Linked DNA regions of Schizosaccharomyces pombe. The protein of the gene in region 2 interacts with the protein of the main gene of each other region in a pairwise test. Each region holds a gene or a part of one and is shown on either strand. Other genes may lie near its edges.

What was found.
Region 1: the proteins of rrn6 (region 2) and atg11 interact in a two-hybrid assay, tested with the Schizosaccharomyces pombe proteins (2 studies listed by BioGRID).

The regions. Positions count from the first base shown.
Region 1 is NC_003424.3:2,629,891-2,635,550, forward strand, and holds atg11 (autophagy associated protein kinase regulator Atg11), read right to left. Parts: upstream 3,662-5,660; 5' UTR 3,480-3,661; coding exon 699-3,479; 3' UTR 558-698; downstream 1-557. Other genes in the region: SPOM_SPAC7D4.05 (hydrolase), read right to left, coding at 19-95, 131-293; protein ahk1, read left to right, coding at 4,321-5,660. UniProt on the Schizosaccharomyces pombe protein: Involved in cytoplasm to vacuole transport (Cvt), pexophagy, mitophagy and nucleophagy. Recruits mitochondria for their selective degradation via autophagy (mitophagy) during starvation.
Region 2 is NC_003423.3:3,368,728-3,374,241, reverse strand, and holds rrn6 (RNA polymerase I transcription factor subunit Rrn6), read left to right. Parts: upstream 1-1,954; 5' UTR 1,955-2,057; coding exon 2,058-4,664; 3' UTR 4,665-4,945; downstream 4,946-5,514. Other genes in the region: Nem1-Spo7 phosphatase complex catalytic subunit Nem1, read right to left, coding at 1-777; ATP-dependent DNA helicase Irc3, read left to right, coding at 5,022-5,201, 5,246-5,377, 5,435-5,514.

The DNA.
Region 1 (5,660 bases), on a different chromosome or scaffold from region 2:
TGAAATTCAGACACATACTTTGATCCACCAGTCATGAGGATTTAATCCTGACTTTTTTCCATGATTCTTATGCTTTTCACTGAAATCCTTGAATGCTAAATTATTAGATAAATAGAAACCAAAAGCTAACCTTTATTACTATTGTGTTCAATTTCATCAATAGTTGCATGAACTCCATACTTCTGAGCGACTTCGCTGTACACAATTGGAACAGGTTTACTTAAATGAAGGATTGTTCCAAAAGCATCGAACGTAACCAACTTGATCTTTTGGATATTTTTTGAGGGAATCATAATTCCAGGTTGTACTTTGATGGGACACACTACACAAAGCAATTTACATAAGGTACTCCTTACCACCAGTGCGTTGTTCGGTGTGATAAATAATATTTGCAAATCACTTTTATTGCGAGCGATTGCGTTCTACATATTAAATAATATACGAATAGATTAAAAGTTCATTAAAAATTTATCATGTTACAAGACGAGAGACACGCTACAGCAATAGTAGTCGTTAATTTACGTCGGATACCTTACTAGGCGAGACCAAAAAACAAATTTCAGTAAATAATGCCATAACAGATCAAAACCTGAAAAAATAGAAGTATGATAATACCAAATGTCTGTCATATAGAATCAGTCCCACAAATACAAGCAAAGAAAAAGCAAGTGAAGGTATAAGCTAGGTCACATAATGATTTAAAATCTTTCATCGATAGCTTCCACTAAATGCCATATTGTACCTGAAGGCAGGCGAAGCCATTTATCCGTCGAATCATCAGCAGTACGATCTTCAATGGAAGTTACCCTTCCTAACATCCAGTCGCGGCTTTCAAGTTTCAAATGCGGTTGAGTGTTCAAATAATAATGAGGAGCGTTAACATTAAAAGCCGCCCACACCTTTTTGTTACCGGCGGTACGTCGAGTAGGCAAAAACAAGACCAAGGATCCTTGTTTGAAATTCCTTAATGAGACTTTACTTTGAGAGTCCAAAATAGCTTTCAGCGCCTTGTCCCTGTTAGATTGAAATTCACGTTTCCAACGAAGTTCATGATTATGTGCTTGAGTCAAAACACTGACAACAAAGTTATGGAAAGAGTCAAAATCTAAAGAACTCATTCTGTTCAAAAATTCCTGGAAATTCCTATCAGCATCCTCCCCATCCATCCAATAAAGATACTGTAAATCTTTGGAATTAAATTCAATTTGGCGATCTGGAATCGATGCATGGCCATCTCTTTCGTTATCTGAATCAAATCCAGGCTGAGTAACGCATTCCCGAAGAACAGACTGTAACTCATTACACCGGAATACAATGGTATAAAGTTTCTGAGTTAATATCTTACATTGTTCTTTTCGATTCTCGGAAAGTTTGAGTAAATCAGCTTTCTCTGCAAGAGCATAATCTCTCTCTTCAATAATATGTTGTACTGCTTCGGCATCTTTTGCAAGAGTAGCGTATTCGCCCTTTTGCTTCAAACTCGTGAGTTGAAGCTTGAAAGCATTATAAAGTTCTTGCAAGCTATCAACTTTGCCCTCAAATACGGAGTAAAGGTTTAATATGTTCGGTTCATTAGAATGCATCTCCTCGTTTGATTGCTGTTCTGCAACTGCCGCTTCATTTTTCGTAAGCAGTTTCCGTGTTGATGAAAGTTCCTCCTGTAAATTTTCGTATTTTTGTAGCACTTCCTCATTTTCAGTTTCGAGGTATTGGATCTTTTCTTCCTTCCCTTGAAGCTCAATTAATAAGTCCTCATTTCTTTTATTTACCAAATCTAATTCGTTGCGTAATTGATTAACCTCATCTTGAAGTCGTAATATGTGGCTGTCGGTAAAAGAAGTTTTGCGATTAGTTAATTTACGAATTACGTTTAGAGGCACAATACTAGGGGAAACACGGTAAAATGGCTGAGAAGAATTAGACTGCTCATTGATGGGTGGATGTGGAGCATTTGGAGATAAACCATCATTGTTAATGTTATAATTAAAGCCGTTTTGATGGCTTAACATTGCCTCTAAATTATTGCAACGATTTTGATACATTGCCAATTTTTCATGTAATGAATTGTTCGCTTGAACCGTATTGGAAACGGCTTCTCGAGGACTTCCAGGAAAGCCCAAATATTCTGAGAGCCGATTGCTTAGCATTTGATGAAAAGTTTGGTAATTCGGATGTGCTTGAATATTGAGTAAATAATTAGAAATTTCGTCACGAGTTAAAACTGGTAAGTACTTTAGCTGGCCATGATTAAAAAGCAAATTAGAGAAATGACTGAGCCAAGACTTCCTAAGAGAAAGCTCCTTCTCCTGGTCTAAAGGAAGAGAACTATCATGGCTTACATTGTATGATTCCTGCCATTCAGTCCTCCTCAGTGCCTCCATTAAAATGTCGATATATAGCGAAAAAATGTTTCGAGACTGAGAAAGAACGAATTTGCTTCTGTCAAGCTCTTCTGCTATTTGTCGAAGATATTCGTACAATGCATCATATCTAAGAGAAACCTTATAAAAGGAAAGCCAAAAAGATTTCAAAGATATTAGTGATGACTTTCTAGAACTTTTTAATTCCGACAGATTACTTTGAAGTTTTTCCATGCAATCAGTAATTTCGGTTTCGTAATTACATTTTGGTTTGATTTGAGAAGTAGTTGAAGTTGACTCTATTTTAAGGATCTCTTGCAATATATTGGCTGCATCCTGAGCGACGGAACGTAGATGATAATAAGCATCATCTCCTTCCTTGATTGAAGGAACTTCCTTGAATGGGGAAACGATAATACTATTTGCGGCGCCAATGCACTGTTGGACTCGTTTTTGAGCTTCAGCATAACGAGCTGAAATGGAGTTTAACCAGGAGTCCAATTTAGTCCAATTTGTTGAAAGTATTTTAAGAGGAGTAATGGGTAAAGAACCAGTTGGTAGAGCGAGGAAATCATGAAGTAAATCAGACACAGATACTCGATCTAGTCTTTCGTAGAAAACGAAAAGTAAATCTTTCATACCAGATTGTCTTCTTTGTAAATAATTCATTGCAACTTCTGGAGAAACAATACTAGTAGAATACTCATCATGGCATACGCTTAATTGATTATGAATCTTTGAAGAAGACTCTAAAATATCAGATAATAATGAAAGACACTTGCTGATTTTATCTTTCCATTGATCTGAAGAAGAATCAGCTATAATCCCAGTAAGTACATTAGATATTGGTTGTCCTTTCAGAGAAGGAATAGAAGGAATTTTATCACCATCGTAGGTGAAAGTCAACAAGTTTTGATCTAGTACGTAAATAACCACATCACTTTCACTATTTAGTACGGTTTCATTCAAAGACATTCCGTTCGGCAATAATAGTTTTGCTTCATCACTAAGTCCAATATTGAGCTCCATAATCCAAGCTACAAGATTTTGGGGAGTCCATTGTACATTATCTATGGTCCAACTCTTTCCGGAGAATGAATCATTCAATCGAAAACGCATACTGACCTATTGTATTGCTTAACTTTATCATTCGCGATTCCCCAACATTAAACTTGAAATATTTGATCTAAAAGAAAACTCAATATCAGTTATTTATAATCCGTTGCATATAGTTATTCTCTGTCCTTATATTCCGTTTTGTTTGGTAAGTTGGCGGGTTCTATTTGGTTTAGGCGATTGTTGGGTACTAACTACCAAAAGGAGATTGGCATTGTATGAACACTGAGTTGAAGCTGTAAGACAATACAGCTTAAAATTTCAAATGTCTTTTCATTTAGCTTAAAAAAACAATTTTAATTATTGGTTTTATTATGTTTGTCTACTGAAATATATGTCATATGTAGCCGTATACCCTCAAGCTGGTGGGTTCGGAAACTCAGCCTTAACCAAGCATCTACACTGGGTGTGAACGAAAGTGTTGGGGATGCTAATTTACATTGCGGATTTCATATATTTAATTTAAAGATATCTTCTACTTGTTTACTTTTCATTCTTTTAGAATACAAGTATTCTAAACTCGGAAGTATTTTTCTTGTTTTTTTAACCGCGAATCTTTTGGTTACCGATTTCTCTGTCTTTTATCGATAAAGTTTTTAAAAAATTAAAAAAGTCAAAATTTCTCTACTGTAGGAAAAACTTTTGAGCATCTTTTAGCATATTTGGTACATTTTTTTCTGGCATTTGCATAGCTTGTCCTTTAAATCTTCATTTCTTTATTAGTGGTGATTGCACGGCTCATGTTAATTAATTTGGTTTTAATCTAGGGATTAATTATATTCTTTTTATTTGCATTTCACACTTATTCTTTTCTTTACATTTAGCTTCATTTCTGAAATTCTGAATGGGTGACTTTCAATCACGATATGAGATCCTTGCCGCTATTATGGGTCCTCCCAATACAGCCTCCTTTAAAGAGGAAGAGCATTCGGGTTCCCAAACAAAAAACTATCCTGTTGTGGTAAAATGTATTCAGGAACATGATCCCGTCGATACAACCAATGTGCTTGTAGCTGACGACCTTGATTCGAACTTTGAACCATTTTCGATTACAGATGATTATGGTAAATATGAAAACACTTTAGTAAGCCATTCCTCAACAATCTTAAATGAGCCTTACAACGAATCACCCTCATCATCATCTTCTGATTCCTCTTCTCGTTCTACCTCTCCTTTTTCTCAGTTGTCTTCTCAAAGCCTACGCCTTAATGCGGAGGAGATAGCGCCTTCTAGCTTAATAAATAAGGCCGTCCAATCTACCTTACGTCTTTCGGAGCCACTGGTTTCTCCAATAAAGTGTCCTTTATCCGAGCAATTCATCAATTTTATTAATCAGCAGGATTCTGATAAGGTAGTTCTTATAAGAGGGTTTTTATTACCACATTTGGCTTCTTTAACCACTAAAAACGTTTCCGAACCGGAATTGGATAAACTTAGGCATTCTTTGTATAACTGGTGGGTATCCATTCTTCGACGTTTACAATCTAATATTTCTACTTCAGAACGTATCACATATACAAAGGCCATACTTGCTATCGCCAAGCATCATTGTTGGAACAAAGTGGAACACTCTGCTTTATTGTACTTGGAACACCAATTAATACTTTACGATACATTGACATTTGTAGTTCATCTGCTTTCTCAAAAGTCCTTGCCGTATTCATTAACGACATTTTGTGCGAGTATCTTGGTTCTCTCCTTTTTTCAACTTCCACTTTTTGCCGACCATTTCTTGAGCGCATTAGATGTAAAGAAAAAGTACATTGATGCTTTGGGCTCATCCTTCGACGAAAAAATAATGATTATTTCACATAAGTATCTTGCGCCATTTTTTACTGACCAATTTTCCTCGACTATGCATCCGTATTACCCAAAACGAACTTCAACGCCTTTTACTATAGGTTACAATAGGCAGCCTATTGAATTCACACGAGCATGGATGCGTCGCTTTAAGTCTTCTACAGGTGGATTCTTTTTCGAGTTTTTATCATGCTATCATTCTTTTTTAGCTTTGCAATTCTCTTTCGAATTACCTGATAATGTCATATATTTCGCTCCAGGTTACATATGCTTACATGCTTATCTTCTTGAATTAACCATTTCGGTTATACATATTAGCGACAAAAAGCCATTAATGTTACCTACAGGACATGAGCAGTTTCCATGTAAGACTTTACCAGAAGT
Region 2 (5,514 bases):
AGAAATATTGTCATTAGCAGGCGGGGAAAACTGAGTTGATTGAGGTTGATGCGAATGTCCTGAACGATTGGAATTTGCTTTTCCCATTAGGGAGACCTCTTTGGGTTTCATAGGAGAAACACACACATCTTCTTCTGAATTCAATGAATTTGAAAAAGAATTGAAAGAAATTTCTTCTTCTGCAATAGAGGGCTGAAAACGAACATGATTTCCATTAGAAGAACTGCTATAAGAATTAGAAGATCTATGTCGTTTGAAAGATGAATAGGCAGGATCCTGGTGAGAGGATGGGTAAGAATAAGAAGAATAAAACCTAGGACGGCGGACACTTGGCTGAGGGGGAAGCATCTCTCGGCGTTTATACGATAATAATACAGGAAAAAAGACAAACCGGCATAGACCCCAAAAAAAACTTGCAAGGGTAAACTCTTTCTCTTCATTCAAAAAGTGGTACAAAAATACACGAGCGGAATGAACGAAAAACGTATAAATTCGTTTCAGGAACACACGAATCCAGTAGACGACAACACGCATAATGTTGGCATGCTTCGGTTTTTCATTCCTTGTAGGAACTTCCTTTTCCGTCGGTTTTGATGACAAACTGCTAAGGCTGGACGCCGAATAAGACGATCTACGACGATTATAATGCCTCAAAGTAGCTGATGAAGCTCGCCCCCGAGCATTAGCAAGTTTTTCTTTGTCAGCTTCATCGTCGTCTAAAGGAGTGGCAAGGATTGCTTTATTAATTTCATCTGATAGCCTAGCAATCGAATTCATTACAATTATTTTCTCTCTGCTGCGATTGCAAAGAATTAAAAAATTCACCAAAAGAAGCGATGCATACAAAGTATACAACGACCAAGCAGAGTCCTTTTAGTAAAAAAGAGTAATTAATTAAATATGTGTTAGTTAGACCTAAAATATGTGGGAAAACAAAGCCAGAATCACACGGTGGTACGATGCACAATATATATAATGATGAACTACAACCCAAATAATAACATTTTCATAAGACGTAATGCTTAAGAAGATATATCAAAACTACCTTAAAGTAACAAATTTAAATGTAAACAATACGGTGTAAATATTTATTAAGTTCGTAAAATGAAAGTTCATTGCAGAAGCTTTCATTTTTTTTAACTAATAAACTTTACTTGTATGGGTTTCTGTGCAAGAAAAATTAATTTTCATTTTATTAAAAGTCTAAATATTTGTAGAAGCTAGCTTAATTGCCATTCTTTTAATCAACGTTTTGCTAGAATGTAAGTCGCCGAGCGGTCTTTTTAGGTTTCTTGACATTACTTGAAAGATGCTTTTAAGTCTAAATATATTTAATGGTACGTTAAAATGTATCAAGCTCCTTTAGACGTTGCATACAATAAATTACTTACAAATAACAGGCTGAACTAACTTATTGACTTTACAAAATTATAAACATATCGATAAAATTGGTTAAGCGGACACTAAAGAGAATTCAAAACACTTGCTAATCTGAATATTGCACTCTTCCTCAGGTATCAGCACCTCCTTACGTATTTTTTATGAAAAGGGAAAACTGGGCTAATGCAACATTCGTAAACCAATTTATCTATTGCTAAATCATTCCAAAATCGTAAGCGTTTGCATTTCATTGTAAAGGAGATTGTTTTGTTGCTGTGTTAATCTACATGTAATTGATAGCAGCTTAGAGACTTCGGAGAAGAACTCCTCTCCTACTTGAACACTGTCTTATGACTAATTTAAGTATTACTTTTAAACTTCATCTTTTTCTAGTAAAGAGAAATTCTCAGTTAACATAAATCAATAAATTGTTCAATTGAAAGCATGTAGTCGGTAGGAGTTATATTTTATATAATTATATAATGGTTTAAAGATAGCACTTTAAATATATTATAGTATAACAATAAAGTCAAGTTCTTAACTATAGGTGAAATTACTCCAGCATTGCTTCCTTGAAACACTGATTACTTGCTTTGTCGCTAGGTTGCTCTTGTATTGTCGTTAGATGTGTTTTTGTAAACACAATTCAATCTAATTTTATTTTTCTAATTATCTTCATGTCAACATGGCCTATTGATGCAATTAGTAAAAAACCTAGTGTAAGTTTGGATTATGGAATTATAGGGGCGTGTCAACTTTTAAATCCATCTGGCTATCACAGAGCGGAGAAGGTTGAAAATAATGAATGGACTTTTGCTAGGTATGACTCCTATACGGGCGTCGAGCTTGTTGACTTGGACAAAAGATGGGATATCTTATCTTTAAATCCAAACTACAAACTCCCTAAATTAACTGAGCTTCCTGCTGAGGCCACCAATTCCACGCGTAAAGCGACTAGTAGTTCATTTGGTTTAAGTGTTTGCAGATATGTTCCGCGAAATTTATTTTCTACACTAGCGAAAGAGTCTCAATTAGCTTCTTCTGCTGAGTCTATATATAATCCACATATTTTAAATACTTTTTGCTTGGGTAAAACAGCGCCATCAGATAAAAACAGATACACCACAACTGAATGTCTTGCTTGTAGCAAGATTAGCAATGAAACTGCGGAAAATCTCCTCTTTTTATGCCTCTCGTCTCCATGGATTTTTCGTGCATCTCCGACATTACAAAATACTGCAACTTTTGAAGAATTCCCATTTTACTTGAATGTATCGGCTTTTGAGTTTGCTGAGGATCCAATATGGAAATTCTCACAACCAGTGAGACAATTGGTTTTCTCTAATGGAGAACCAAGTTTGCTCTTCGCATTATCGTCTTGTGAGTTGGTTATATTCCAGGTAACTTATGATTTAATGTTCTTAGATGAGCCAAATACACCTGGATGCTTGTCCGCTATACCTCTGCGTTTTTTGTACGCAGATGATGTTTATAATTCTGACTCGTTTGCTAACGTGTCTGTCCATCCCACCGATAATTCATTTTTTTTAACAACTTCATCATCTGGTAGATGGACCATCTGGCAATTCTTAGATGATGGGTACAGGGAATGCTTCGGTAGTTCTTTCAAAGAGTCTTTGCAACAAGCATTATGTTCTGCACCAACAAGTTCCATTGCTTATCACGAAGAAGAAATAAATCCCGATAATACAATATATAGAGCTAAATGGGAAGAGTATTTTGGCGGTGTCATTTTGCATAATGCTTTTTTTATTCTTCATGTGTCTCTTGGGGAGGTACCTGATTTCCATCTTTTATTCCACTGCAGTTCAGATGTTAGGATTCTACAAGTGGTAAATGAATCTATGCCTATTAAATCTGAGTTTTTCATTTTAACTACCGAGTCCGTCTTGTGGATGGATATTCAACATCCTCAGAAGCCGCTACTTGAATGGAAACATAATAGAAAATTAGATCCTACTTTGAAAATTACGGTTACCGCTACTTTTTCTCAAAACATCTATGTCTCTGTTTATTCTCAAATGAATGGTGTTGTCCAACAAATTCATTTTTCAAAAGACAGAGCTCTACCTGTATCAGGTAGTCATCCATTTCTATTATTAAATGAGGTTCAGGTTCCCATAAGATCCCTCATTATACAACCTTGTTATTTTTTTGAGTCATCTGAATTTGACAGACAAGGTCCTTTTGATTCACCTTTTTGGTCTGCAATAATTGATAAGGCTGACGGATCTCTTTCCTTACATATTCTTTGCGAAAAAAGTTCTCTTAAAATATATAATTTAGAGGAGCTTACTGGTTCTAGCCAAGTTGCTATGAAATTTAAAACTATCACCCCTTCTGTAAACACTAGTGAAGATGATTCGGCAAATGATCAAGAAATAATAAGCACTCCGAATTCCGATTTTCAACAATTATCACTGTCACGGTTATACCATGTTTTGTGCTCTAATAGGAACAAAAAGAATACTATCACCCTTGATGAATTCGCTAGCAAAGTTCCGGATTTTGTAGAAGCTTTTGATTCTATCAATCACGATGTTATAATAACTTTGAGTGAGTTATATGACGGATTTCCTTTGAAAGGAACCTTTACTAATGTAGCTGAGATCATAAGTCATTTAGAAGGTACAGAACTATCATTTTATTTTCCTTATATGTTTGGTATTAACTACAACAATGCTTCTTTCTTTTATACTTCCGTGGACTCAATTGCTAGTTTAATACACAGGCGCTGGGAATCTAATACTGATAAGTCTGTCGAAATTCCTTGCTTTCAGTCTTCTCAAAGAAGATCTATAAAAAATGTTATTCACTATTTATTTCTTTCTTCTATAGGAGTCTCCAGGGAAAAAATATTTGATCCATCATTGTCTCGAAAGGAAATCGATTCAACCGACTTGCTTACATTTATCAAACCTTTTTATGATACGGAAGGCCTGGAGCTGAATGAAGATGTTAGAAATATTTTGGAGAATTGGGAGATTGGAAAGATATCTTCAACTTATGTCATTGGTGATAGCGCTGTCGAAACGGAGGATCCATCATCTAGCCAATTTAGTGATTTCTACATTTCACAACAGCAGTCTTCTGTACTTCCCTCAAGCCAAATTGCGACAGTCTTTTCTCAAGAAGATGTTCCTAATTTTTCATCGCTATACTCGGAGAGTTCTAGCCAAACTATCCCAATAATGTCACAAGTCGTTAGTGGCAAATATGGTTCTCGTCCTTCCAAAAAGAAAAAGAAAAGAAGCGGATTTTAAATCCACCCGTATTTATTTATCTGTAAGTGATTTGTTTACAACTTGGGGAATAATTTGCTTGAGTTATTGATACTATACCAATGCTTGGACATAAGGTTGGTAGTAAATTATTTGCATATATTATGAAATTGCTAAAATTTAAAATTTTTTTTTCTATAATGTTTATAGAACTTTCAAATTTTATATCTTAGTTAGCCTTTGTAAGTCAATAAAAGTAAGTAATAATTAATTGTCTGCATGTCATGCTAATTTATGCTCTGACAAATTATTTTAACTAAGCCATTTTATGCCCTTATCCATTGCTGTATTCTATAGTTATAAAATTATTTTTGTGTCAGAGATTATCTTGCCGTAGACATGCTACTAAACGCATGTTGCAAAAAGAATTTGTGGCCAAGAAATGGTTCAACTATATTTAGAAGATTTGCTCTTAAACTTCGTCCTTATCAAGAAGAATGCCTCAGTGCCTGCTTAAACGCTTTTGATGAAGGTAAACGTCGAATTGCTGTTTCATTAGCTACAGGCTCTGGTAAAACGGTATTACTGTTCTACTACTGACTGCAATATTAACACGTCTAAAGGCATTGTTTCCCCACTTTATAAAATATGCACCTACTTTAAGGCCAAACTCTGAGCAATGTCTAATTTTGGTTCACAGAAAGGAGTTAGCTTTACAGGCCCTCAAGCATTGCCGAGAAAGCCTTCCGAATAAGGTACCGTTCTTTTTCCAAATAGATTCCACGCTGTTTCGTTTACTAACTTTGCCATAGTCTATTGAGATTGATATGGGCAATCAGTGTGCATCCGGACTGGCTGATGTTACCGTTGCGTCAGTTTTTTCTTTAAAAAA